Ovis aries: one gene and its partners. The protein of the gene in region 4 purifies or fractionates together with the protein of the main gene of each other region. This does not show direct contact. Links are inferred from orthologs where the notes say so. Each region holds a gene or a part of one and is shown on either strand. Other genes may lie near its edges.

Region 1 (4,216 bases), on a different chromosome or scaffold from region 4:
TACAGGGCTGTTGCCCTTAAAGTACAGCCTTCATACCCATTTGACTTTTCTGTCTTATCATTCTTCTTTTATATCTCCCTTACAGTTGGCTTTCAGCTCTCACCTCTGCTGCTAATATAGCAGCTCCTCCTCCCCTTTATATGCCCTGTTCTTAATCTTCTGGGGGTTTAGAAACCAGATTGTTAAGCTTGTTACAACAAAACATAAAAACAGGAATAAATTAGCACTGTGCAAGGTATTAAGGATAACAATGCTTTGCTACCTTTTGTTTTTTAGCTGGATTCTGGAAAATTGAGGATGTTAGATAAATAAGCTATTATATGAGTATCAGTATATTATACAGTTTTTTACATGGAACCATTCATATTTTAAAAGAATCAACAATGGAACTACTTAGCAGGGCAGTTGTCATAAGAACAGTAAAATCCAAGCTTGATGCCCAGGCCATGGAAAGGCCAGAAGCTAAAGAACATTAGATTAACCAAGACAAAAGAGATGACAGCCAAGTGTCTGGAGACTTAGAAAAGGAGGGAAGGTTGGCCAAAGTGGATTTCCAGGAGCCTCAGGTGGAGGAACGGATCCCTCTGTGGACCCTCAGGCGGGCAGTGGGAAGAACAGAATGTCCCTTACTACAGAACACGAAGAGAGTATGAAGACCTCTATCACCAGCCAAGGGCGAGAGAAATGGTGGGAAAAGTGTAATGATCACGGCCTCTGATAGGATATGAGGCTACAGTATACATGAGTTTTCACTAACAATAGTGAGGGGTGGCAGTAGGTAGGGAACCTAGGGCCAAAATAGGAACAGCCCTCCTGGTCTAAGATAACAGTAGGTAACAAAGCAACATCCCAGTGGAAGCAGTCAGTGAATACAGACACATGCTGGGGATGGACTCCTGAAAACAACCATAATATCTGTACTGGCCGCGGACTTGCAGCCAGGCTGTGAGAGTGCATTTAAACCTGTACTCCGCAGCCTACATGCTGCAAATGATGGCTGCCAATGCTGCCTGGTTCTGTCTCTGTGCCCTGGAAAGACTGAATCTGTGGAACTTTTCAACTTTTTTCTGGTAGGGCCTGCAGCAGGAGGAGAGGAAGAGAAGAGCATGGGAGAAAATTTACAGTGTAGATTTCCAAAGCAAAACCTTCCCTTTTGCCTTTGGGGAGTGGGGTGGCTAAAGGTCAGGGACTGAGAATGCCAGAGATACCTATAACACTTTCTTCTCTCTTCTCTCACTTCAGTTTTTACAATTCCCAAAGCTTTCCAACTTGCATTTCCCATTTGATTCTCTACAACATCCTATATGGTTGGTGTACACAAAATAAACATGTGAAGGTACATGGAGGCACTCTAACAACTTAAAAATAGGGAAACAGATTATCCAAAGGAAACTATTGAGAGAGACAATAAAGCCCCAGGTTTTCCAACTATAAGTCAGCTCACCAGGTCCCTGTCCATGCTAGCCCAAGTGCTCATGGGGTCCCAAGTGTTATAGATGTTTTCTTCTCCTTCCACTCATATTTAAGTCTGGGTCTCCGCCTGCTTGGAGGTTCTTTCTTCCAGCCTCTTGGCCCACCTCACTAAAAATGTCCTTGCTCAGAAGGGACCCCCAACTCCTGCCTGCCTTGCTGTGCCTTTCAAATAACTAGGCCTCCTTCCTGAACCCCTAAGAAGGTCTGTCTTCTTGAATTTTATAATAAAAATCATGATTCCAAGGAGATTAGCAGTCCAAAGAAAGCATGCCAAGTCAGAGAGAATGGTATTCACAGACTGACCTGGATTCTAAGATCAGCTTTATGGATTTCCAGGCGTAAACCCTGGGCATATTACTTCAGTTTCCTAAGCCTCAATTCCCTCATCTATAAAATGGGATTTTTATATAGTATAAATGAGATCCATAACACAACTGATTCTTAATATGTTGATTTCCCATCCTATTTCACCATCTGCAGTCTTCCTTCTAAAATTTGCTGGACTTTCCCTTCACAAAGCCCCACTCTAACACTGCATCCCCAGCTCCACTGATGATCCATATTCTGCAGGACTGATAAAACCACAGGATTTCCCAAAACTGAGTCTGGGCTTGGTAGGTCACACTCAAGACTGAAATCAGAAAAGTCTATGAAGGGCTATTAAGTCATGTTAAGAGAGCTTGTGGGAGGTATGAAAAGGCTATGAAGGCAATGGCACCCCACTCCAGTACTCTTGCTGGAAAATCCCATGGACGGAGGAGCCTGGTGGGCTGCAGTCCATAGGTCACTAAGAGTCAGACACGACTGAGTGACTTCACTTTCACTTTTCACTTTCATGCATTGGAGAAGGAAATGGCAACCCACTTCAGTGTTCTTGCCTGGAGAATCCCAGGGATGGGAGAGCCTGGTGGGCTGCCGTCTATGGGGTCGCACAGAGTCGGACACGACTGAAGCGACTTAGCAGCAGCAGCAGCATGAAGTCATGTTAAGAGAGCTTGTGGCAGAATGGGTTTAGCTAGGTCCAGGATACCACGCAGCAGAAAGTAGCAGGCAGAAGCCAGCAGGAAATGAGCGTGCTTTTGCTTTATTCATGGCAAGTGATCCCAGACTGTCTGCCTATGACAGTCTCTTAGGCACGGAGTAGGAGAGTAATTATCTATGTTACCTGTACTAAGGGTAAAAATAAGCCCCAAACTAGTTACCCTGTATCTTGGCCCAAGCTTGCCCAGGTACCCTCACTCACCAGCAGCAAGGCTGAGCTCAGCCAGCAAGTTCTTCTTTTGTGGTACAGGGTCAGCACCAACTGCCTCAGGGAAGAGGGCTCACCTAAAACAGAGAGAAGTCAGTCAGGGTCTTGCTCAAAACAGGCCTGAGCTTAGGTCAATGCATGCATTTGAAGTTCCTGCCCTCACAGGTCTTGCAACCTAGCAAAAAAAAAAGGTTAATAAACAGTTTCAGGTTGTGCTAAGGGCTATAAAGAAAAATAAAACAAAGCAAGGAAAGAAAGGACGACTGAGTGAAATGAGGTCTATTTTAGATGAAAGTCAAGGAAGACTTCTCCAAGAAGCAGTCGCTAGACAGAGACCCAAGTAAGGGGGTGAGATCTGCAAAGATCAGAGGAAGAGAGCTTCAGAGAGGGGAAATAAGCACAAAAGCCCTGAGGCAATAATGGGCAAGAGGAAGTCTGTTACACTAAGAACAAGAAAGTCTACAGAACTAGAACGTAGTGACAGAAAGAAAGAGTTCCTCCAGGCTTCCAAAACCTAGAACCCAGATGGGACAAACTTCTAAGCACTATGATGTTGACTTCAGTTTTCTCCACTTACCCCGTCCTCTGTTGGGACAGAGAAACTCCTATATTATTACTTGGAATGTGGGGTAGAAATGACTGGGGTAAAGAGAACAGTAGCACAGTGCCAAGCCTCGTTGTAAACACTTTGCTTGTATTAACTCATTAAATCTTTAGGAACTCTTGTAAGGTTGGTGTGGTATTACATTCTTCACTTTTTCTAAGGGAAAACAGATACAGAAATGCTAAGTAAATTTGCCCCAAGTCACACAGCTAATAGATGGTAGACTCGGGGCTTCAACCTGAGTTCAACCTCCAGGGCTTGCCTTCTTAATCATATATTATACCACTTCTCAAAAAACAGAAGGAAAAAAGACAGAAAACGCATGCTCTAGTCCTGGCTGACATGACTCAGAGCCCTCATTTATATCCAACGCTGGGATACTCTCCATTTACTTGCAGTCCAGGCTTTTTACTAAACACCAGTTGACTCCTGAGTCCTTCAGCCAGGTAGTTCCAAAGGATACCGTGAGCACAAAGCTATGATAATCACCACCACCACAACCGTCATTTAACTGCCATAACATTTAAGGCACACTTTGAAATCGTCTAAGTACTGGGTTAAGCACTTTACATGTACTATTTTATTTCCGAGAAGGAATGACAGCTGCAGTAAGACCTGGGTAGAAGGATCTGGGGGCAGGGCTCCAGGTATGAACAAAGTAGCAAACACAAGGAACTAAAGGATCTCTGCAGGCTGGGGTTAAAGCCCAAAAGCAAGCCCAAAAGCGGAGGCACTAAGAGGTGGGAGGTAATAGGAAAGGACTATCAGCTCCTCCAATTAAATAATATGTCAACAAACTGTGAACCCTTCTCCCATTTCCCAGTCCCCATGGTTCAGCAAACAGTGTAACAATTCTCTCAAGTACATATTTAGACTTCAAAATGTTCAGG
Region 2 (3,500 bases), on a different chromosome or scaffold from region 4:
CTGCTAAAATGACCTTTATCACTCTTGACTGAGAGCTCTGGGGAATATTCTGTAGTAATCATGGGGTTAATGATTTAGACCCAGAATTGTAGCCGCTTGTGATCTGCTGGGTATGCTTTTGTGGCGTCCCTAGTGAAGGGATATACTGTCTGTGTCTCCAACTACTGCCCGCCTCCCCCCCCCCCCCAGGTGTCTGTACTGGTGATGTGTCACACTCGGGAGTTGGCTTTTCAGATCAGCAAGGAGTATGAGCGCTTCTCCAAATACATGCCCAGCGTCAAGGTAAGCCAGGGTAAGAGGCTTGGGGGAATGAGGGTGTGGAGAGTTGGAGGCCTTGGGAACTTGCTAGATCAGTAGTCTTCACGTCCCACAGGTATTAAATACCTGTACACAAATAAACTTGTAGGACATAGTAAGTTCCTGCAACTTAGGTGTCTAAGAGATTTATGTTCTGATATGAATTATACTTGTTAGAGGTGCCTCCTATATTGTATTGATGTGTGTATACATTGTATCAGCATGTATATACACTGTGTCAATATGGGTGTGCATTGTGTAGCTGTGATATTCAAGGTGTGGTTCCCAGACCTCTGTGGTTTCAGTGTCACTTGGGAGTGGTTGGAAATGTAGATAGATAACATGGGTTCCACCCAGACCTATCCAGTATGAACATGCATTCTAACAAGATTCTCAGGTAATTGGAGTTTGAGAAGCATATGTATATGCTTGATGTATATAATTTTTTATTCTCCTTGGGTGAAAAAGTACAGTTTTGTTCAGATTAAAAATTTCCCCCTTAATTATTATATTTAGAACTAGGAATATTTGAGTAGTAGCCGTAAACTAAAAGTAATTTGTTTAAAATAGTAGTAGTAGTACTTGCGCTTGGTAAAATGTGTAGTTAATCCAAAAGATCTTATGATGAATTTGTGTTCTCCTGTCTAATCATACTTCACACAGAGTATCACTTGTTAACTTTTTTTTTTTACTTCTAATGTTCTGTGAAACCAAGTATTAGGCACTATTTTCTCAATTTGTCTACTTAAAAGCCATTTTAACTTTTCATGTAAGACTGTTTAGCTTGTTTACATGGTTCTTTTTCCCAGAACTTGGGAAAACTGTTTAATTTTCTAAATATAGTCAAAGCTCTGTGTGTGTGTGTGTAAAGTATATCTGTGTTCATACAGTGTCGGTTTCGTTAGCATTTACTTTCTGTCTTTTTAGCAAGTGGAGTTTCCATAACTTTCCATTGTTAAGACTATGAAAACATTTGTTGTTGAGCTCAATAGAGAGCTAGGATGTAGTTTCACCTCAGTAGGTTTAATTCATCACCTGTGGACTCAAAAGAGTGTTCTTGGTGTCAAGATCAGATATAAATTTGATTAGTCTATTTGTCCTTTTGTTCAATATTATGCTTCAGTGATTTGATAAAGAGATTGGGCTAGTTCTGCAAAATGTCCTACCTCTGGATTTGTCTGGTTACTCTCCTGTTGTGGTGTTTTAACTTGTTTTTCGCTCCCAGTGTTTCCTGTAAACTGAATTTTTTTTTTTTTTTTGGTGCTGTGGCACCTAGTGTGTGGGATCTGAGTTCCCCCACTAGGGATCAAACCCATGCCCCTTGCATTGAAAGTGCAATAACCACTAGACTGCCAGGGAAGTCCCTAAACTGAAAGTTATGTTTGAAAGCTTAACTGATTCAATTTAAAGATTTTGGGCAAGAATTCTTCATAGATGATGCTGTGTATCTCCTGTTTTGTTGCAGACCACTTATCCCACAATTAATGGTTTTAGATTTACCCTAGACTTAAGGTTGTGATAGTCTGATCCCTTGATTGGTCTCCCCCTTTGAAACTAAAAAAGCAGTTTCTGATGCTGTATTAAAAGGCTCAACAGCCATTTCCTGAATGGTTTTAAGGTGGAGTAATATGTCTAGCCTAAACAGGGTCTATTCAAAGGAATTTAAAAATCTAGGGTCAGTTAGGAACACTTGATACCTGTGAGCTTTTTTTTGGTACTTGACACTTAATTTCTTGCCATCCTCATTTTTACAGTGAAGTCTGGCTTTGGAGCTGGAGAAGGAAAATTGTTAGATTAAGTCAGAAGAACTAAATGCTAGTCCTCAGAGCCATGATCAGCCATGTAATTTAGGACAGGTCACTTTTGTTTCTTAGCTTCAATGTTTGGGGGTTACGATACTTTTAGATTAGGTGATCTCATGTTCCGTTTAGCTCTGAAATGTTCTGAGAATTGGTTTAGAGCAAATTGAAAGGATGGGAACCTTGGGAAGGTTGACCCTTTCCTTCCTTGTGAAATATTGTTCTTTTCTGGGTTGGCAGGTTGCAGTGTTTTTTGGTGGTCTGTCTATCAAGAAGGATGAAGAGGTGCTGAAGAAGAACTGCCCGCATATCGTCGTGGGGACCCCTGGCCGCATCCTAGCCCTGGCTCGAAATAAGAGCCTCAACCTCAAACACATTAAACACTTTATCTTGGATGAATGCGATAAGATGCTTGAACAGCTCGGTGAGTTGTCCCAGTCGGGCTGGGCTGGTCTAGTGATCTGGGAAGTTGCCTTTTGGAGCCAAATGATGGTTATTTGATACTGGAGCACTTTAGTGCCAGGACGACTCTTAACCTATCACCCATGACTGATGGCTCTGGCTTCCCTGGTCAGTCTCTGTTAGGCTTGTTAAGCTTCCTTGGTGATCAAGGAGAAGGGGATCATGTTCTTCCTTTTTGTGGTAGATGTTTATCTTTGAGAGGAGGGACTTAGCTAATCTTGGATGTTAGTCACACCACCATTGTGTCCTCTAAATCTCTATAGTGGGTGTCAAAGGGAAGACAATGGAGCTGGAAAAGGAGACAGTCTACTTGTTTGGCATCCTCAACTCAGGATGTATCATCAGATTATAGCTGAATAAATGTTTCGACTTAAGTTCTGGAATGAATGTGGAGAGTGTGTGTGGGAGTCTGTGTGGTGTGGTGTTCCAGTGTGCTAAGTGCTGTGAAGAAAGGAAGATGTTTTATGAGAACTCAAATTTGGTGAATGAGACTAAGGATGGGCATATACCCAGGGATAAGTCATTCCAAATGATCTTTGGCTATTCTAGATGGCGAGCTATAAAGTGGGCTCCAAGTAGAGATGTCATATTTGCCTGACTGGATAGGACAGTGTGATCCAGAGGAAGCATGGAATGGACTCTGACAGCTGGAATATAATAGGTGCGCGATATTGGTAGACAGTTGGAGCTTGGGGAGAGAGGAGTAGGGAGAAGGGCTTTGTAAGGACTTAATCTTTGTGAGTCTCTGCAGTGGGCTTTATCCCCATTTTCCAGTTGTGGGCTTTGGGATTTCATCTAATTTCTTTCGTGGTTAAAATACACGGCTGGAACCTGGTCCATAGGCACTGTTGTTCCCACTGTATTGCAGCCCTGGACGTGATTACATGGCGGTTGGAGATAATAGAGTAGAGAGAGACCCGAGGCAAATCTTAACCCTGACCC
Region 3 (3,500 bases), on a different chromosome or scaffold from region 4:
CAACAAAAGTACAAGATGAGCCAGGGTCCCACTGGTAATGATTTGATTTAGCATAATAACTACAATAAATGAAACAAAATGCTTGAATCTACTAGTCTGTAATGATACAAAAACAAACAAAAACCAAACTGAGACCTTACCAGTTACTTTTGAAGGTTATTAGGGATCAGCTCATAATTCTGAGAACTGGTTAACAAAGGAAAAGATCAAGCACTTAACTGCCCTTCCTGTACAAACTACATGCTTCTTGGTAACCAAACAGCTGATAAGGCAAAGTACCTCCTTAAAGAGTTATTCCAGCAAACAAATACAGACACAGACAGAACATAAACATTTTATAGTTTCTAATGAATTAACAGGTAATTTACAGCTTATATGACAAAAAAGAGAACCAGATGAAGCATTCATTAAGTGCCACCTGAGAGAATATATCAATATCACTATCTATAAAGTATTCTCAACAAGGAGGGAGAAAGGAAGAAAAAAACCTGAATCTGATCAGGCCTCTCAATCACTAATTTACAAAAAATCTGGAGTACGAAACATGTAAAATGGTACTACTGTGTCCTATGGAAAATTCTACAAACTGTATAATCTAGCATTCCAACAAAAAACTGCAAGGGAAGAGAGAGAGGAGGAGATATCATAAGACAATGTATTGATCTTATCTGGATCCTGATTCACAAACTACTAAAAGAAAACTTCTGAAACGGGGGTGAATTGGCAACTGAACAAATATTTGGTGATATTAAAAAATTCTTAGTACTTTTATAGGTAATAATGATACAGTGAGTACTTTTCTTTAACAGGAGGATTCCCTGGTGGCTCAGAGGATAAAGCATCTGCCTGCAATGCAGGAGACCCAGGTTCGATCCCTGGGTTGGGAAGATCCCCTGGAGAAGGAAATGGCAACCCACTCCAGTATTCTTGCCTTGGAGAGAGGAGCCTGGCGTGCTACAGTCCACAGGGTCACAAAGAGTCAGACACGACTGAGTGACTTCACTTTCCTCACTTTCACTTATCTTTTAGAGATAGATTAACTGAAACATGGATAAAATGTCAGATTACTGGAGATTTTCTTCAAAGTAATCTGGGAAAGGAAACAGATGAGGAGACAGATGGAATAAGACTGGCCATGAATTGACAGCTGCTGAGCATGGGTAATGGGCTCGTTACACCACTGTGTTGACTTCTGTAAAATTTCCATGTCTGCTGTCTTCCATGATAAAGAGGTCCGGGGGGAGGAAGGTAAGATAGAGAAGGGAAGGGAACGAGGAGAGGGAGAGAGGCTGGCCAAGCCTTGAAACCTTAGCACAAGTAATGAGATGAGGACTCTTCTGGGGTTCTTCAGCTTGACCCAACCCCAGCTCCTTAAGTAAGGATCTTTCTTTCCCCTCCACCCCAGCCCCAGGGAGGGAGACATACCGCAAAGATGAGTGAAATGTCAGTGGTAAGGGCCTGCACTCGGTGGAAGGACGCAATAAGTGTCATGGGAAGGAAGCCATCAGCATCCATTTTTCGCCGCAGGAAGAAGTCTCGCTCTAAATTGTCCACGCTGAAGTAGTATTCACTGGGTGGAGGGGAGAAGTGTGATTGCTCCATCATGTGTGAACGTGCCTTCTTTGTTCTGTACATTCCAGGAACCTCATACAGCCTCTGACCAACCCTGTCCCTCTGTATTTACAATCTTAAAGGCTGGAAAGAGATGATGTTATCCTCTCATGGCTCCCTAACCTTGGGTCAAACTCTCTCTGCCCTTCAGCCTCTGGGTACACCTGACAAGCCCCTCATCCTTTAAAACCCAGTCCCAATACTGTTGGTCACCTTCTCCTCCGCTCCTAAAGAGCTTATCACACTCTACTGCAGTCATCTCTTCTCTTGTATGGCTCCCCCCACTGGACTGAGACAGTCCACTAGAGGTTAGGAGTTAAGGTTTTGCAAGTCAGACAGAAACAGACTGAAATCTGTGCCTTGTCACTTATTAGTTGGGCAAGTTACTGGGCCTGTTTGCTTATCAATAAAAAGGGGATAAAACCCAGCTCATAAAAATTAAATAGGTAACTCCATAACTAGGTAAGAGAATGCCTATAAAGCTGAGCACTGGCCTCATCAATGAGGACTCCATGAGTGTCTATTAGCATTCTGACAATGCTGCCATTACAAATAGAGGCCCAAAGGGAACAAAATCTAGACATTTTCTTTCCTTTTAAAAACATTAACTGATTCATTTTTAAAACAGAAGTACAGTTCTCTCAAGTTATCTTTTTCATCTCCAGCCAGAGGCAGCAACCACTGTGATCCCCAGAAGAGCCTGTACAGCCCTACTCCGTCCTCAGGCACCCCTCAACCCCACCCATGTCTCCAGAAGGAAGACGCCTGTCCACTCACATCTGGCGTTTGATGTAGTCTTTAAGCAACTCCTGGTCCACGCTGTAAATCTCAGTGCTGCTGACATTGTCAAAATAGTAGGTGATGTTGTTCATGTACTTGGGGGTGCGAGGCCCCTCCACACCATCAAACTTTCGGTAGCCGAACTGGTAGTCAAAATGGGCTATGGGAGGAACGAGCATCATGAGGGAGAGGAGATCCCCGCCTGCCGCCCCCGCTGAACTCCCTCAGACATCCCGGAGCCCAAAGGGGCCTCACGTACTTCGAGTGCCACCCCGTCCGCGTCCCCGTCCGCGACCACGCCCCCGTCCACGGCCACGGAAGGAAGCCCGCGCCCCACCAGCCCCATCACTCTTCACACTCGATGTCTCATCCTGGTCATGCCAGGCAGGCTCCGATTTGGTCTCTGGTTGCCAGGCTGGAGTGGGGGGGGCCACGGGCACGTAGGTGACAGGCTCAGACCCTATGGGGAGAGGGGGCATCAGGTCAGGCCTGGGGGTGACCCCCAGGCCCAGGCCCTCCATAGTGGGAGCGCATACCTTTGATCTCCCCGCGGCTGGTGGGGGTGTGTCGTGGCTCTGGAGGACGAGTAGGGCGTGAGACCAGTTTCTCTCTGGGCACTTCAGGCTTCATGTCTATTTGCAACGGAACCCACTTGTGTTTGTTCCCTGGAGGATAGCGTGGGCACGAGAAAGGCTTGAAGGAGAGGCCCCTCCCGCCCACCTCTACCCCCAATCCTCTGTCCCTGGAAGGGCTTTTACTGCCCGTTCACCTCGGGCAAATGCCTTTCCCTCACTGGAGCTCATTTTCATCCCTGAAATAAGAAAGTGGTGGACTTCAGTGTGATGGACACTCCTGGTTGACTCCCAACACTGATTTCTCCCGAGCATGCCATTTACAGCCAGACACATGGCAGCCTGGAATCAAGACCGCACCTCCAGGCTCCCCTAGATACATGCCAAGGAGAGCTGAATGCAAGCACTCAATTCTAGGGTGCGTCCCTAAAAAGCAAGGAGCTATTCCCCCCTTTCCCCACCCTAAGTAGAGTGAGTCACCTGAGATGAGAAGAGCCAACACACAGCAGGACAAAGGAATCAAAGAGCTGCCATTAT
Region 4 (4,120 bases):
TGGGTATAGTCCACAAGTATTTCTCTAGGAAAACGTGTCTAAAACGTGTCTACAAACAAAGTTCTGGTAACTCAGGTCAAAGGTAAATTGGGAGGGAACATCTGTATGGCACATGTACCAGGAATAACCTCCTTTGTCTTGTTTTAGTAGATACTTTCAAATTTCCTTCTCTAGGAACTTTGACTAGAGTGCAAGTTGCAAGTTAATTTGAATTTCACATTTTGTCCTCGTTCTTGTAGAGAGTGAAAAGACTTCAGAATACCGCAAAGTGTTCACATAACCAACAAAAGGAGTGTTTTTGTAGCTGCACAGACCTGGATTCGAATCAGGATACCTGTTCTATAATCACGGATTGTTCTTGGTCGGTGTCTTATTTCTCTTTTCTATAAAATGGGGATAGCTTACTTTCTTCATAAGACTGTGTTGGGAAAGCATTTAATTGTGCATTTTGAAACGACTTCAGCTCTATACAAATATCACTTACTACTGGATCTCCACATTGGTTTCTTGATAGAGTTTCAGGAAAACATCTGTGAAAGGGTGGGAGATACCTATCTAATCTCAACGCTCTTTGAGATCCGGAGGGTTTGGGCTTTCCCGTCCAACAGCTAGTCAGGGGCCAAGGCTTGAGGACGCTGGGTGGGCGATCAGTGCTTGATCAAACTAGGACCGAAGGGTCTGGGCTAAACTCCCTGCTTTATTTCTTTCATGTCAAAAGGCACAATCTACAAACCCTGATAAGGACTCAAGAGAGGTAAGCCAAAAAGACGATGAGTGAAAACCGAGACGCTGAGAGAGGGTCTGTGTCTGTTGTCTTGGGAGGAACATTAGAGCCAGAGAGGGAGGATGTGCCGGAGGGAGTTCGCGTCTGAAAAAGTGGAAGGGGAACGGAACGCAGGAACTCCACACCCCGAGTGAAAGTGAGGCCCAGTGAAAGGGGCCAGCCTGAGGAATTTCGGTTCCCGCCCTACGACTCCCGGCTTTGACTACAGTTCCGCCCGCAGCAGCCCTGGGCCCCTTGCCCCGCCCCCAGGGGTTAATCGGATCGTACCATTATGCCATCCTAGGGGCGGAGGTGAAACGTGGGCTAGTCTTGCAAAGCAAATAGTTCTTTGTCAGAAAAAAAAGGGTTATCTATATGATCTGAACGTTTCTTAGTTAATATATTTCCTTTCTGCCTGCTAGGATCCTCTATACTCCCTGAAGAGTGCCAGGAGTCCGGCCATGTTTCCCCCTTTCCTTTCCGTAGTTGGTACGTTCCCCCGGGAGACGTAGGCGGGGAGGCGTACATAAACCTCGACGCAGGAGGCGGGGTTGCTCAGTCCTCGAGGCGTCGGTGCTCTGTAGTGTTGGAACCTTGTTGCTTGTCGGCCTGTGCGCGCGTGCGCGGACATGGCCTCAAACGGTAAGTAAGGGCGCGAGGCGATCGTGGCGCGCCGGCCCCGGACCTCATTCCTTCCCAGTCCGGCTTTTGTTTTTCGGTGGGACCCGGGCGGCTATCGAGTGCAGGATCTTTTCCTCGCACCACTGGCTAGAAGCAGCGGAGAGGGGTGGAAGGGGGAGGCCGATGTCGCCATTTTGTTTTGCTCATCTGGCGCCTCGCGTGGGGCGGGAGGTCGTCCCTTCGTTGCCCCCTTCCTTGAGGTGAGGGTTGGGAGAGACGCGGCTTAGTGATTGGGAATGGGAGGCATGGATGGAAATGCTCGGCCTCCGTATCCTCTTCTCCCCCTCGTCCCCAGCCCCGCGCTCGGGCCCGCTTTGTCGCAGTGCTGCATCCGGGCACTCGGAGGAGCGCGCACGCGCTTTGCTAGCCCCTCCTCCCCTTTCTGGCGGCGCGAACCGCCCCCCCCACCCCGGTCTCCTGTCTGCCCTGCTTTTTGTCGCGAGACCCTCGGCTGGAGGCTCCGCGGCGCGCGTCCGGTGTGGGCCGCGCCCCCGGGGTCCTTCGGGAAGGGGCGGGACCGCCTCGTTCCCGCCTCGCTTGCCACGCGGCCAGAGGCGGAGGCTCGGGGTCTGGGCCGCGCGCCCGCTTAACGGCTGGGGGTGGGGGGCTGGGGAGTGGTCCAACGGTCTTGAGGACTGGGCCCGAGGCCTTTCCCGCCTGAATTTCCTCTTGCAGAGGTGGGAACTGAAAAGAACTGTCGCCTGGGGCCACACCCTCTCTCGGTGCTTTGGCTCTTTCCTGCGGGGGAAGCGCCTCGTTTCCTGTATCGAGGAGATGAGCGGATCAGGCCCGTGCGTCTTCCATGTGGCGTTTTAAAAAGCACTTTCGCTGCTTTGGATTCGCCTAGTCTTCCCGCAGCCCCGAGTTAGCCAAGAGGGACAGGAAAACGCACTCGTTTGGGAGCCACAGGGCTGGGGGCTTGAGTACCAGCCAACGTGCTGATCAGAGTGCTCTCTTCCCTTGGTTAGCTGGCTTTGCACCAGAAGCTCCCATTTCCAGGCTCCAAGATTGGGCAAAGGGTGAAGCGTGGCGTTTTGTGAGACATTCTTGTTCTTTGGATTGAGAAAGCGGAGGCTCCCTTCGGAACAGTTCTGCCTCTGGCTTGAATTAAAAACCTGTCCTGCTGAAACAGCTGTGTGGTTTCAGCCTAACTCTTGGCGATGTCTTCTTTCTCAAGGGAGCGTGGGAAAGAAATGCGTAAATCTTTGCAGTTCTGACATCGATTGAAGTTGCGGACAGGTTGCTGCTGTCCGTTAGCACTCTTGCTTTTTCAAGTACTTAAGGCGTCTTTCTTGGTTTTGTGGAAATGCGCTTTCTCGTTGCCTTTTTCATTGTAAGAAAACTTGTCTGGGGTCTCACAGACTGCCCCTCTCCATAGAATTTCATGAGGGAATATATGCCTCCTTTGTTGATTTTCTTATCTGGGGACCCTGAAGCTTAAGTCTTTTAGCTCGTCTATTCTGAGAAATGGCTGAAGGTAATATAATCCTGTTTTTCTTTTGCAGACTATACCCAACAAGCAACCCAAAGGTGAGTGTCCCTTCTGGACTTCCAGAGTTTGTAGAGGGTGAGGGTGGTTAAGATGTCTTTTCCTGAGAGCACTGTTTTTTCTCCAGCTATGGGGCCTACCCAACTCAGCCTGGGCAAGGCTACTCACAGCAGAGCAGTCAACCCTACGGGCAGCAGAGTTACGGTGGCTACGGCCAGTCTGCAGACACTTCGGGCTATGGCCAGAGCAGCTACGGTGGTTCTTACGGACAGACCCAGAATAGTGAGTCTTAGTGGGTCACCCCACCTCTTCTGCTCTTTGTGAATGTTGCTTTTCTTTTTTTTTTTTTTTTTGTGAATGTTGCTTTTCTTAAACCTAAGCAGTGCTGAAACATTCCCCTTAACCGGTTTTTGACCCTTAAAGCTCTTGGATGTTTTGAGTCCTTTGAAACAAAAAGACTTAATTGGTTTGTAATCCTGCTTCCTTTTATTTTCTGTTACTTTTTACTTTTCTGTTTATGCTGCTATTTTCCCAATTTCCCCTAAGCATGAAAGTGAAATGAAGGTGGGAGGAATATTCTCTAGAGGGAGAAATGCTTTAGGCTTTTAAAGAGGGAAAATGACTTGCTTGAAGACATTTGAAGTCAGGTGGCATCACGTGGATACACCAGGAAGTGGAATTTGCCCTGAGGTCCCTGGAGTGTAAATAAAACGCCTTGTCTTTATTTGTTCTGCCAGGGGCGGGCAGGTTAAAGTGCTGTTAGTGACAAGAGATCTCTTGGGCTATGACTAGTGGTGGTCCTGGAGGCTGGCTTTGGGGGTGTGTGGTATGAGGTTAGAACTTAAAACTTGAGTAGAAGTTGAAACACAGCTTTCAGGTAGAAAAGGTAATCTCTTTAGCTATGAGTTGCAAGATTGCCAAGCATTTTCTAAGAAGTTGACTTACCAAGTACAGGAAGCACTAAGTGGTATACAGGGCTGTTCTCAGTGCATTCCCTGCCTGTTCTCTTTCCTCATAGCTTCTGTGACTTCCCTTTTCCTTTCCTTGTAGCAGGCTACGGCACGCAGTCAGCTCCCCAGGGATATGGCTCAACTGGTGGCTATGGCAGTAGCCAGAGTTCTCAGTCGTCTTACGGGCAACAGTCTTCGTACCCTGGCTATGGCCAGCAGCCAGCTCCTAGCAGCACC
Region 5 (4,059 bases), on a different chromosome or scaffold from region 4:
TAGTTGAAATTAACTTCCAGTTTACTGCTGGACCGCGGGTTGGGAGTGGGGGAAGGGGGAAGGCAGAAACCCTAACCCCACTGGGCAGAAGCCAGCAAGGCACAGGCCAAACCCAGTACCCCCTGGGAGGAAGCAGGGCCTTTCCAGCCGGAGTTAGAGAGCCGGGATCTGGCCTGCTCGGGAGAAAGCAGCCATTTCTCCAAAATAGTCCAGGGATTAAAAGTCTCCAAACACTGTAAACTGACACTACACATGCTTTCCAAAAAGTGCAACCCCTTCCTCGTTGAGGAAGCAAAAATCTTCAATCTTCTCCATCTCTTGGTGGTTTATCTACAAGCCAAATATTTTTTAAATTGAGAAGCAGGGTCGAGGGGAGTCCGGGAGACAAAGGCGGGTTTGCAGAAAACCCGTCTTACTCTGCAGGAACTGAAAGGCGCTTTGGGGCAGGAGAAACCCAGGCGTTCCCTCACAGGGAGCTCCCAGGGTAAAGGCAAATTTCTCTCCCCTCAGATGCACGCACGGCCCCCGCAGACTCTTGCCCGCCGCCGTGGGACAGAAAAGGGAAAGGCACGCCACACCCCGCGCGCGGCTGCAGCTGCTTTGCCTCTCCTACGGTTTCAGGCGGGGGGGCGGTCACCAATTCCCACGGATGCCCAGAAACTGCCCTCGGAGACTCTTGATTTCCTGTTGCACCAACCTGACCTACTCTGCCGGAGAACATTTAACCGAAAGAACTTCCTTAAGCGACTTTATATACCAGTATAAACAGCCCGGTGGCAGGGCCACAGACAAGCTGTCTATTCCTACAGAGCAGTGTGCACACACACACACCTGCCAGAAACACAAATGCAAAAGAAAACGAGAAACGCCAAGCCATACAGCAACCCCAATAAGTGGAAAAGTTGTTTTCAGCTGTGTTCTCTCCTCCCAATGGCCGAGAAGGGAATCAATGAGAACATGCTAAGCAAGCTCACCTCTGCCTTTTGGGGACCGAGTGCTCAACTTCAATGAGTTTTCCGTGCAGTTCCACTTTACCTGCGGACACACAAGAGGTGCAGGACAGTTGGCAGAGTTGAGCGGCTCTCTGGGCCTCCTTAGACCCGGAGCGGCTCGAGGCCGAGACAGAAAGCGGCCCCGCGCGGGTGGGAAAGGAGGAATCAATGGGCAGAGGTCGGTAACACTCTCCCCGCCCCCCTCGGCCTTCCCCGCCCACGTCCCCCGAGACCCTAGCAGACAAACTCAGGGCAAAGGGCTGCGTGGGCTTTCCTCAGGTGGGGGCGCCTAGGCCCTTCTCCCAGGGGTTCCGGCCCAGGCCCGCTGGGAACGGGCTGTGAGTGGCGGGAAAGGCTTGAGGACCGTCGGGCAGGCGCCGAGAGAGCGAACGTCCAGAGGCGCAGCTGGGCACCAGCGGAACCACGCGCGAGGGACGGCGCCCGCCACCCCGAAAGGCACGCGGCTCTGAGCGGGACCCGAGTGCATCCTTCCCCCGCGCGCGCGCCCGACCAGCCCCGGAGGCCGCGGCCCGAAGCCCGGCCCCGCAGGGGGACGCGCTCCCAGGCGACCCCTGGTCGCCTGAGCCCACCTCCCCTGTAGCTCGTCGGACCCGGGAAGGTGGAGCCCAGAACCCGGGGGTTGCCCTCGCCCGCCTCCCTGCAGGGTCGAGGGGAGCGCGGGGCCGCCCGTGCGCGGCACCAGCCCGCGGCCTCGCTTAGGCAGCGGGGTCCAGGCCACTTTGGAGTTCTCCCTCGGCCCAGCTCTGGGGGCGGGAGAGGAGGCAGCGAGTCCACCGCCAGAAACCCCCCTCACACACACACACAGAGGGTAAGGAAGGAGCGAGAATCGGGCGTTCGTTCCCGGCCCCCAAGGCCCGGCATGCCGGAGCCTGGAGCACGCGCCTGGGCCCGGGCGGCGCGCGGGGCGAGCTTCCCCCCTCCCCGCTCCAGCACCCCAACCCCGGTCCCCGGCGCCGCACGGTGCCCCCGCTCCCCTCCGAGCCCGAACCGGGGTTTTCTGGACAGCGCGCTCGCCCTCCGCCCGCAGATCTGGGGGGGGGGGAGGGGAGCCGTGGGGCCGGGTAGGCGCCCCGGCTGGGGGAAGGGCCCCGACCCGCGCGTGCGGGCGCCCGGGCCTTGGCCGCTCTCCGCAGGCGCACCCGCACCCGCCCAGGCCGGGGCCCGGTGCGGACAGCACGGTGTGTGGACTGCCGCGAGCCCGACCCCGGCAGGCCCGGCCCGGGGCCCACCTGAAAGCGCCTCGATGGCCTTGAGGGCCCAGCTGTCGTCCGGACAGTCCACGAACGCGTAGCCCGTCTTCACCAGGAAGGGTCCCGACACCGGGATCTTGGCGTCCTTGAAGACACTTTCTAGGTCCGAGGCGACGGCGTTCTCGCTGAGGTTTCCGATATACAGTTTGTTCATTGTGAAGAGTGGTTGTTGCTTTTATAAAAAAAAAATTAGGAGAAAAACGAAAAATTAAAACCACCCACAGCGATGGATGGATCCGGCGAGTTCTCCTCCTCTTCTCGCCGTTAAAATACACAAACACAGTAAGAACCAAGGACAGGAACGAGAAGCGAAAAAAATCAGATCCGAGGGTTCCTGTTTTTTCCTTTTCTAGGTATTAAAAGAAAAAAGAAAAACCCTAGCGACAACCCAAACGCATCCAGTCTTCCTAACTCGGAGGAGGAGGCGGGATTAGCAAGAAAAAGGAGGAGAGAAAGGAGGGGGGGGAAACTACTTTTTGTCTTTTCCTCCCCAAACCCTCTGGCATCGACCGACGGACTGTGAAAATATTACACTACGAGAGGGCAAGCACCGCCTCCCCATAAAAAAAAAAAAAAAAAACCCAGAAGGGTGACTGGCAGGAGGGAGGGGAGAAGGGGTGGAGGGGAGGCAGGCGCAGGAGGCGGAAAAAATCCGCTCCGAGTGTCCGGCTTTTTGAATGAGCCACGTGTTCAAACTACAAATCAACGTCTCACGTGAGGAATCCCAGCGCCTCAATTACAGTGGGTTTCGCAGGAAAAAAAAAAAAAAAAGCTAGCAAGAGGAGGAAGAGGGGGAGGGGTAACAAGATTGGGCGAAGGACCCTGCGCAGGGGCGGAGAAAGAGGAGCGGAAAATGCTAAAGGAGCCGCAGCCGGGGTTGCGGAGGGAAGCGCGGCTGGGGGAGCTGATGGTCACCACAGAGTTTAGAAAGGGTTATCTGGTCGGGGCGGATCCTCCAGGAGGGGAGAGGGGGCGGGAGGAGTATTGATTTTTTTTAAAAATGTGATTGGAGTGGGGGTGCTAACTAGGCAGTCCCTCGGCTCTATTTACCCGAGTTTTAAAGACTCGGTTTTTAAAAATCGGTAATCAAACAAAGCCAAAGAGTCACAATTCCGAACTCGCCTTGTGGCTTCGATGACAGAAGTGTAACCTCGGCAAACCGCGAGCACCTTTCCAGGGGTTGGTGGGGACGGAAACGCAGCAGGGGGGGGGAGGGTTGGGAGGGAGCCGGAGAGGCGGGCCGACGCGCCCCACCCTGTGCACCCTTTGCTGGCGCGGGCACCGGCAAAGTGGGGCGGCCCCGAGCCAGGCCGGTGGGGGGATGGGAGCCCGCGGCGTCCTGGGCGGGTGTCTGGGCGACACCTCCTCCGCCTCCGCCTGCGCTCGCGGTGGCTTTGGGCTTCGCGTTTGCTATTGGTTGCGCGATTCAGAAAAGGCTCCGGGATCAATGAGGCCGGGGGCGGGCTTGGCCACCGGTGGGGGAGGGGAGCGCAGGGGCCAAGGTTTCTGGAGTGGGGATGGGGGCGTCCCGGGCCTCGGAGGCCGGAGCAGAAAAGTCAGAGTGGGAAAAGTCGGTATTTAAACGGAAACCATATCTTCCTGTAGTTTCCAGAGGAGGAGGAAGAGGAGGAGTGGGGTAGGCTGGTACTTTTATTTAAAGAATTTTAGCTGGAGAACTTGGGACTCTTAAAACAGGAACACCGCTCTGCGTTACCCCTAAGTGGTAACTTGTACTTGAAAAATTGCTTAAGTCTCTTTCTGCTGCTTTTCTGCCTGCATTTGGCCATTATAACCAT
Region 6 (4,245 bases), on a different chromosome or scaffold from region 4:
TAATATACAAAAACTGCTGTCAACAATGAAACTATTTCTGTACACTATTTAGCCTTCTGGCAAAAAATCACTTGAATTACAGAAAACAGACATTAAGAGGTAAGAAGTCTAAGTCGCTTCAGTCATGTCCGACTCTGTGTGACCCCACAGACGGCAGCCCACCAGGCTCCCCTGTCCCTGGGATTCTCCAGGCAAGAACACTGGAGTGGTTTGCCATGTCCTTCTCCAATGCATGAAAGTGAAAAGTGAAAGTGAAGTCGCTCAGTCGTGTCTGACTCTTCTGCGACCCCATGGACTGCAGCCTACCAGGCTCCTTTGCCCATGGGATTTTCCAGGCAAGAGTACTGGGGTGCCATCGCCTTCTCCGTGAGGATAGAGACTACCTTTTTTCCTGTTTCCCTGGTTCGCAATAACAACATCATTCTGGTGGGGAAAGCAGACCAGTTTTTGGCAGCCCTGGTGGGAAAGGCGGATCTTGCATTTACCTAGGTTGGGGGGCAGGAGGACCCTCTCTGGAGGGAATGCTAAACGGGTATACATGAGCAAGACAGGAGGCTTTGGGTTCACACACCCCGTGACAACAGGGCGGGCTGGGCTGGAGGCCTTGCCCTTGAGTTTCTGAAGCCCCAGGGCTCTTGTTAAGACCCCTTATAAATATAAAACTGAATTTCATTAAGTTTAACTGATTTTATAAGCAGCAGGAGGGGAAAAATCCAGTTCTCTTAACTCCTAGACCAGGGTTCTTTCAACTGTCACACTTCCCACTTGACATCTCACACATCCACCAGTTAATATAAATTAATCTTTAAGATTAGAAAAATTAGCTATTTTGGAGCTTATTCCGTGTTTCTAACAGCAATTCCATCCAAAACAAGGTCACACAACTATGCAAAACCCTCTAGAGACCTAATCAGGAATAATGTGTGTTTATATCCTCTACCAAAGAAAACAGCAGGAGGCATGAGCATGGGAAACACAGAGTCCTCCAGCTTAAGCCATCCTTCTTAAATCCCTCTTCTCCAACCAACATGAAAATGTTACTAATGCCTATCTATTTGAAATCAAATCTACAGTTATTTCAGATATTAATTTTGTGGCCAAATCATTCCAGATGAGTGATATTAAACTGTTACCTTGGTACATGCTGATCCTATGGAACCCATTTCTAACACCTCAAGGCAAGAAAAGTGCACTTCAAATAATTTTATTTCCATCTAAGAATTTAACCATTCTTAAATACTGATTTCCTACATTTCTCTTTATTTGCCAACAATATTAGGCGTATGATTTCCTAAATTAACCAATTACTGCCCTTTTAAAGTCCATGTGACAATCTAAATGCTTAAGCTTTTATTTTTAAGGCAAAGCTTTTAATTCTATTACAAAATCTATATGCTAAGGGATCGATACATAGCTACCTACAGTAACAGTTTTAGCTTCTGTTCCTAAGGGACAAATTTACCCAGTATGGGCTTAAACTATACTTAACATTACTTTTTGTGAATGTTTAACACATTATGAAAAACAAAATCACCTAAATCTTACACAAAGATCAAAAAAAAGCGATTTCTTGGATAAGTGAATGTGATACTTTGAAACTTATGTAATTTTTAAAAACCTGGCAAAAATTGTTTAGTAATTTTCAGGGCTTAGCAAACAGTAACCACCATAATACCTGCTTAACAAAAGGCATATAGTTATGCATTTTTGCCAACTTTGGGATGGTCCGGAAAATTAATGCCAGATATCCCGAAAATCAAACTTCACAAAATCTTAGGACGTCACTTTAATAAACGCAATACTCATAATCTTTTCCCCAAGAGCAGTTTGGGTATTTCCAGTTACCGCTAGTCCTTGCTGTAATTATTTTTAACATCTACGATTTCAACGGGGAGGTAAAGCCACTTGCCTTAACCTGGAGACCAAATTCCTTACTAGTTCGGCTGATTAATATGACCCAGGCAAGCAACACTCATGCCTCGGTTTCTGTCTAAGAAAGATAGTATACCTACCTCAAGCAAGTTCCACTAACTTATATATTTCAAGCGATTTGTAACCTGCAGATAAAAACCCAGCTTTAATTATTACTGTTGATATGTAAATCAGATTACAATTTTTTAAATAAAATTGAAAATATTTCGAGGTTCATCATTTGTTCAGAGAGGCGTAAACTAAAAAGTAATCAGTAAAATATTAAAACTATTGTTTTCATATTTATACCCTGCGGTACGCTCCAGAATTTGGAGGCTTGCGGTACAAAAAATTTCTGCTTGATAAATCTTCCCCATCCCCCACTTAATTTTAAAATTTAACAGGAAGCATCGGCACTACATTAACTTGAACTACATTCATGAGCATCTTTGATCATCCGTTTCACAATCTCAGAGTCCTCATGGTCACCGAAAATTAAAGGACAGCCGTTAACACAAGAAAGCGAAAAAGAAAAACAGCATTTTCCCTGCCGATTGTGGCCTAGAGGACACTGGGTTAAAAATCTACTCAAGGGCTGCGGCCTAGAAAACTCTCCGCGTAAGATCTAATCCCCCAAACCAGAGAATAAATGGGGGCCTGCTTACTCTACCGAGGGGAGGGTTCCCTCGTCCTCTCTCCCACTCCACCTCGCGCTCCCCAAAGAACCCAGCGCTTCCTCTGCTTCCGCTCCCTCCACTTACCAGGAGGGGGAAGGGAGAAGAGATTCGATTCTGAATCTCCTACCCCTGGGTTCTACGTGAAGAAGCCGATGGCTGCTCGAGGTCGGCAACGCGGTCGCAATCGCTCAGTCTTCGCCTCTTCACAAAATGGCCCCCGAGTCTCCTCTGCCGCCGAGGCGAAGGCCTAGGCCCGCCTCTCTTCTGAGAATCCTCCTATTGGCTGCGAGTTTTCTCGCTCCCGCTTCTCATTAGACAGTTCTACCGCTCTTCACAATTCTATCCAATCACAATCAGTAGTGGCTTAGACTAATCTAGAGAATTTCCACATGCGTGGGAGAAACTAGTTTGTAACTGGTCATATTTCCTGTCATTTATCTTCTGAGACATGCTTATTGGCCACTGTACCCTGACGAAGCTCTGGGTGGAAACTTGCCTTTGTAAGGCTCACCGCTTCACATCCGGGTATCCGAGATACCTGATTGGCGGTCTCAGTATCCCATCGCTACTCTTCAGAGCGCCTAGAAGGAGGCCCACCCGGATCTCGGAATTCCCGCGGCGCGGGGGCGGGGGCGGGGGTAGGGGGGCAGATGAAGATTGCCGGGTCTTGTTTGGTAGACTTCTGAAAGGTCTACCCTAGCTCCCGGCCTAGGTAAAAGGAAAAGCTGTAGCCCGCGGGGTGAACAAAAAAATTGTTTTTTCTTTGACTGGGGAGGGAGCACTGAAAGCTAGAATACAAACCAGCCCTGCAGTTTTTCCAACCCTAGAGCTCCTTTCTGGACATTTCTCAGCTTGTCAAGCCCTTCAAACAACCCATAACTCACGCAAAACAACTGACTTAACTCACCTCTCCACTGCAAAAGGTAAATAAAGTCTAAAATACTGGCCTGGGATACTACAGCATTCGTCCTCTGGCCCCAAGTCATCTCACTTTCTTTTTTTTTTTTTTTCCCAAAGTGGTGAGGCTGAGGGAGTGTATTCATTTATTTTTTAATATAAATTTATTTATTTTAATTGGAGGTTAATTACTTTACAATATTGTATTGGTTTTGCCATACATCAACATGAATCCGCCACAGGTATACACGTGTTCCCCATCCTGAACCCCCCTCCCTCATCCCTCCCCGTACCATCCCTCTGGGTCGTCTCAGTGTACCAGCCCCAAGCATCCAGTATCATCATCTCACTTTCTGATATCCTATATGCCAACCAAATTGGTTCAACTGGCTAGCTCTCCCCCGCCCGAACCCACAATCGGGTCCCTTAATTCTCCGCATCCTGAAACGATCCTGTCTCCCACCTACCGGCGTCGTCTGCACTGCAGTCCCTCTGGTTATATTATAGCAGCCGAGCACGCAATGCAATAAGGACCAGCTGTGCTAGGAATAGGAATAAAGGATATTTCTCTGTGTAGTTGGGGAAAGCAAGATTGCAGAACACTTATCTAGAGAATGTGATACTCTATACATTTTAAGGAATATATGCATTTGTGAATACAGTTTTATGCATTAGTTTCGAATTAATTCTTAATTTCAGATTCACAAGGAAACTGTCTACCTGTCAAATGGCAAAAATCAAGACAGTTTAGTAACGAGTG
Region 7 (4,027 bases), on a different chromosome or scaffold from region 4:
TTTTTTTTCCTCTTCTGTTTTCCAGAGAATACACTCATCATTCATGTTTACTCAACGTATAGGAGACCTAGGGAGATTCACAACTTGGCCAACCAGAAAAATTAAAGACAGCATAAAGTATCAATACCTGCTTGGTACTGTTTTAGGCACTAAAATGTGATTTAGTAGAAAATCTTAACAGCACAGTAAAGCAGCACAGACCGTGGAGCCAAGCTGCCTACGTTTAAACACTGGCTTTGCCAGCTAACTTGATGCGAACTTCATGGAAGTTATTCAGCTTCTCTGGCCTTACTTTCCTCATCTATAAGATGGTGAGACTATCACCTACTTCATAGGGTTGGTGTGAAAAACTGAATTCACACACAAAAATACACCTGGAACAAAGCTTGGCAAATGGTGCACAATGCGTACTAGCTGTCATGTTTTATCATTTTTTTTTTTCTTTCCAGAAATCAATCTCTCCATTGGTTAATGCAGAATATCAAGTTAAGACTTCTCAAGTTTCTTTCGACTTAGAGATTCCATACCTTGGTGCCACATGACACTGAAGATGTCAGAGATCACTACAAGTTGACAAATGGGGACAGGCTTCAAAAGAGAGCTAGAACCCAGAAGATTAAGTTGTTTTTTTTTTTTTTTTTAACACAGAAAGATATAAGCTGAGTAGAGAAGCATGATGCAAGGAGGAAAGCTAGAAACAGCAAAGTCTAGGAAATTAGAATAAGTGTAGGAACACAAGGAAGATAATTTGGCTAGTTTATGTTTTGAGAAATAGTGGAAAATAAGATCCAAATGACTTTAAGAATAGTGGACTAAAAACTAATGATTATAAAATGTTACTTTTTCGTTATCATTGTGTTTTTGGAGTACGAGAAAGATTTCTAGTGACAGTTGATCACCGTCTACTCTATCTAACAATCTGCCTTGAGAATAACTCACACACTATAAATCTGACTCTTTACCAAGAATTTGTACAAAACCCAAGAATTCCAACACATTCTTCTAAAGCCAAAATAAGTAAATGCTAGATTACACTTGTTTTGGAAGCATCTCTTTTCCCTCTGCTGGCTTAAAGAAACTAAGAGCTGATTACATAAAGATGTGATAAAAACTAAAACATAAAGAACTGTACTCTTCCACAAACTGCACTAAATTATTAACAGTGTAAGTCAGATTTTACCATTCCCCTGCTCAAAACTCTCAGTTTCCATCTCAGGCAGAATAAAAATGAAATCTTCACAACAGCCTAAAAGGTCCTGGTTGTCTGGTGCTCCCTGCAACGCCTTGTTCCCCTCCCTGACCTTATCTCCTAATAATTCCTCCTTTTGCTCACAGTACTCCAAGCATGCTGGTCTTCTAACTGTTCCTCTAACAAGCCAGCATTGTCCTCTTCAAGGTCTTTATACTTGCTGGTTCCTCTGCCTGGAAGGATCATTCTTCCAGAAACTAGCTGGGCTCACTCCCTCACCTCCTTATCTAGTCTGCTTAAACATCAGCTTGTCTGTAAACACTTCCCTGACCATGCTGTTTAAAAATGCAACATCTCCCCATTCCTCTCTTCAGCTTTATTTTTTTTTTTTCACCTAAGGCATTAATCATCTTCTAACTTACAGTATAATTTACATATTTGTTTTCTCTCTTCCCCTCACTACAATGTTTCAGGAGGGTCGGGTCACAAATCAAGCACACAGGTAGGGAACAGGCACACAGAAGTTATCAACAAAAATATTTCTTGGGTGAATGAACTGCATATTAGGCCAGAGTATGTCTCTTCTGGGTACAGGAAAATACAACATACATTTTTTTTCCTTAACCACTTAAAGTCTCAACATGAATTTTGGTATGAAAGACCTTCCACTGGGCTTGGCTCTGGAAAGTTAAAGCGAATTAAAACAGAATCTCTGCTCTTTAGGAGTTCGGTGGTGTGTATACAGAAAATAGATATATACAAAGATCATTCACAAAAAACCAAAATGTATGGGAAGCCAGAGGAATCTGAATGACCGCCCAAAGGGGTGAGGGGGCAAAGCTTCCGCTAAGGTGATAAGAAAGCTACGATTCCCCCGAAGTCTCGACAAGTATGATCTTTCTTCCTTATATTATTGGTGCCCTAAGCTTGCAACTCCATATAAATTATTTACCCACATCAGAAAGGCTCTTTAGCAGGCAGCAGAAAAGTTTTGTGAGGAGGCTGATGCTAGTCACAGATACACTCAAAGCTACACAAAGATCACAGACTATGCCTTTCACTGTCTTCAGATTTGGCAACTTTGGCCTGGAAGGTCCCCCGATCTGGAAACTAGCATCTGTTAACTGCTGCTGGCTCGGGTCAGAATCCTCCCCGTGCCTATGCCTCCCGGAGCCCAGCACCCTGCAAATCGCTTCCCGGACGGGCGATCGCCGCCTCCGTAAAGCCGCCAACTGGGCCTCATTAAGAGTTGTGGGAGAAGCGGGAGCCGTAGGAGGGCGACGAGGCTTCGAAAGGCTCCTCGAGTCTTCAGTCCCGCACTCCTACCCCTCCCCGGGCCCCTGCGCCTCGGCTTCCTGGAAGCTCCGCCGACTCTTTGTTAAGAGAGGCCGCGGTTCCCTGGCCCTCACTAGGCCCCGCAGTTGCCTGTGGTGCCCCCAAGGGGTTACGGCCCCGCGTCCAGACCCACCTCACGCAAACCTGCTGCTGTGGCTGCAGAGGCAGCTGTTGCTACCGCTGACTCGGAGAGAACCTCACGGCCCGAAGTACGCGCGGTCCAGGCCCCGTCCCGCCGCGCTCCTCCCTCTCCGCCCCCTTCGCTGCCGCCGCCGCCGGCGCCGCCGCCACCGCCTCTTGGCCCGTTGCTGACGGAGGGGGGAGGGGAACAAAACCGGACATGCGCAGTGCGGAAAGCGCGGGCGAAGGGCGGAGCCTGGTCTACGGCTCCCGGAAGGCGCCGCGGGCTCTGGGCCTTAAGGCTCCCGGATACCGCACAGACCCCTCAGACTCTTACAGCCATTGCTTCTGAGTGAGGAGTGTTCATGGCCCGTATAGGGAGTGGGTCTGGGAGTGAAGAAAAGTAGTAGTGGCAGGGAGCCGCCAAAAAAAAATCCCCCAAAAGGGGCTCGATTGGAAAACACATGCACATGAAATTGCCGATTCCCTAAACTCTGCTCCTTAGCAAATACGACCTGGGCGACATTTCTCCCCGTGCCCCTGGACACGTGGTCTTGTAGAGCATGGTGACTTTTAACTTCCGGAGCAGGGGTTCAGCGTGATGACAACTAGACTGAACCCTAGCGGAGAGCACTGGGATAGGCGCCGGCAGCTCCGGCCCAGGGGCGGTGCTTATGTAATTCTCCCGGCCGCCCCACCTCGCCTCATCTTGGGGGGGAGCAGGCGGTTTCGCGCAGTCCCCAGGGCTGTGTCCCGGCCCCGTGCCGCGCGCAGGCGCGGGCAGGCCTCACGCATTCTACGTAACGGCTGGCGGAGGCTACGTGAAGAGTGGCGCGGCGTGACTGAGCTGCCTGGTCAGGCTGTGTCCTAGAGGCGTCGGGGCAGTGAAGTCGCGTTGACCCTGCAGGCGGTGGCCGGGACCAGAGGCTAGCGGGATAGAGGCGGCGGCCGCAGGAGCAGCGGGCCGGGTTCTAGCCCCCAGTGCAGGTAGGGCGCGGGCCGTGACGCGCTGGTCGGTGGGGCCTGGCCGGGCCGAGCGGTGACGCTGAGTTGCGTGGCCTACCCGGGTCCCTGTTCCCAGTCCAGCCCCTAAGTCCAGCCTTTAGGTGACATGCTTCGATCCTCGCGCCTTCTCGCCTTTCCCGATTTTCTTAAGAACATACCAAACTTTGTCCACCCCAAATCCCTGTTTTCTGTTGGGAGTTCTCTTCGGGATGGCTTTAACGGTTTTGGGCAACTTCCAGAACTCTGAGCAAATGCCAACCCGCAGAGCAAAGTTGGAGCGGGCAGCAAGAATAATGGAGCAGAGAACTAATTCTCCGCGTTGGGGAGAGATTAGACCCAGCTGGTTTGACAGACAGAAGCAGCAACCTCGGTGGTGAA

The links.
Region 1: the proteins of FUS (region 4) and RALY purify together in Homo sapiens (affinity purification with mass spectrometry; 3 studies listed by BioGRID and IntAct, with this or other methods). This does not show direct contact. The link is inferred for Ovis aries from reciprocal best matches to the Homo sapiens genes FUS and RALY.
Region 2: the proteins of FUS (region 4) and DDX39B purify together in Homo sapiens (affinity purification with mass spectrometry; 3 studies listed by BioGRID and IntAct, with this or other methods). This does not show direct contact. The link is inferred for Ovis aries from reciprocal best matches to the Homo sapiens genes FUS and DDX39B.
Region 3: the proteins of FUS (region 4) and LARP1 purify together in Homo sapiens (affinity purification with mass spectrometry; 3 studies listed by BioGRID and IntAct, with this or other methods). This does not show direct contact. The link is inferred for Ovis aries from reciprocal best matches to the Homo sapiens genes FUS and LARP1.
Region 5: the proteins of FUS (region 4) and IGF2BP3 purify together in Homo sapiens (affinity purification with mass spectrometry; 3 studies listed by BioGRID and IntAct, with this or other methods). This does not show direct contact. The link is inferred for Ovis aries from reciprocal best matches to the Homo sapiens genes FUS and IGF2BP3.
Region 6: the proteins of FUS (region 4) and HNRNPC purify together in Homo sapiens (affinity purification with mass spectrometry; 3 studies listed by BioGRID and IntAct, with this or other methods). This does not show direct contact. The link is inferred for Ovis aries from reciprocal best matches to the Homo sapiens genes FUS and HNRNPC.
Region 7: the proteins of FUS (region 4) and DDX42 purify together in Homo sapiens (affinity purification with mass spectrometry; 3 studies listed by BioGRID and IntAct, with this or other methods). This does not show direct contact. The link is inferred for Ovis aries from reciprocal best matches to the Homo sapiens genes FUS and DDX42.

What each region holds. Positions count from the first base shown.
Region 1 is NC_056066.1:63,428,823-63,433,038, reverse strand, and holds the start of RALY (RNA-binding protein Raly), read right to left. Parts: upstream 2,801-4,216; 5' UTR 1-2,800. UniProt on the Homo sapiens protein: RNA-binding protein that acts as a transcriptional cofactor for cholesterol biosynthetic genes in the liver. Binds the lipid-responsive non-coding RNA LeXis and is required for LeXis-mediated effect on cholesterogenesis.
Region 2 is NC_056073.1:26,832,893-26,836,392, forward strand, and holds part of DDX39B (spliceosome RNA helicase DDX39B), read left to right. Parts: intron 1-189; coding exon 190-282; intron 283-2,336; coding exon 2,337-2,520; intron 2,521-2,577; exon of another isoform or gene 2,578-2,654; intron 2,655-3,500. UniProt on the Homo sapiens protein: Involved in nuclear export of spliced and unspliced mRNA. Component of the TREX complex which is thought to couple mRNA transcription, processing and nuclear export, and specifically associates with spliced mRNA and not with unspliced pre-mRNA.
Region 3 is NC_056058.1:63,776,794-63,780,293, reverse strand, and holds part of LARP1 (la-related protein 1), read right to left. Parts: intron 3,057-3,500; coding exon 2,928-3,056; intron 2,852-2,927; coding exon 2,651-2,851; intron 2,552-2,650; coding exon 2,389-2,551; intron 1,571-2,388; coding exon 1,426-1,570; intron 1-1,425. UniProt on the Homo sapiens protein: RNA-binding protein that regulates the translation of specific target mRNA species downstream of the mTORC1 complex, in function of growth signals and nutrient availability.
Region 4 is NC_056077.1:27,781,522-27,785,641, forward strand, and holds the start of FUS (RNA-binding protein FUS), read left to right. Parts: upstream 1-1,320; 5' UTR 1,321-1,392; coding exon 1,393-1,405; intron 1,406-2,949; coding exon 2,950-2,974; intron 2,975-3,060; coding exon 3,061-3,215; intron 3,216-3,983; coding exon 3,984-4,120. UniProt on the Homo sapiens protein: DNA/RNA-binding protein that plays a role in various cellular processes such as transcription regulation, RNA splicing, RNA transport, DNA repair and damage response. Binds to ssRNA containing the consensus sequence 5'-AGGUAA-3'.
Region 5 is NC_056057.1:32,994,807-32,998,865, forward strand, and holds the start of IGF2BP3 (insulin-like growth factor 2 mRNA-binding protein 3), read right to left. Parts: upstream 2,801-4,059; 5' UTR 2,418-2,800; coding exon 2,243-2,417; intron 1,036-2,242; coding exon 975-1,035; intron 1-974. UniProt on the Homo sapiens protein: RNA-binding factor that may recruit target transcripts to cytoplasmic protein-RNA complexes (mRNPs). This transcript 'caging' into mRNPs allows mRNA transport and transient storage.
Region 6 is NC_056060.1:24,220,408-24,224,652, reverse strand, and holds the start of HNRNPC (heterogeneous nuclear ribonucleoproteins C1/C2), read right to left. Parts: upstream 2,801-4,245; 5' UTR 2,673-2,800; intron 2,058-2,672; 5' UTR 2,013-2,057; intron 1-2,012. UniProt on the Homo sapiens protein: Binds pre-mRNA and nucleates the assembly of 40S hnRNP particles. Interacts with poly-U tracts in the 3'-UTR or 5'-UTR of mRNA and modulates the stability and the level of translation of bound mRNA molecules. Single HNRNPC tetramers bind 230-240 nucleotides.
Region 7 is NC_056064.1:47,759,534-47,763,560, reverse strand, and holds the start of DDX42 (ATP-dependent RNA helicase DDX42), read right to left. Parts: upstream 2,801-4,027; 5' UTR 2,658-2,800; intron 1-2,657. UniProt on the Homo sapiens protein: ATP-dependent RNA helicase that binds to partially double-stranded RNAs (dsRNAs) in order to unwind RNA secondary structures. Unwinding is promoted in the presence of single-strand binding proteins.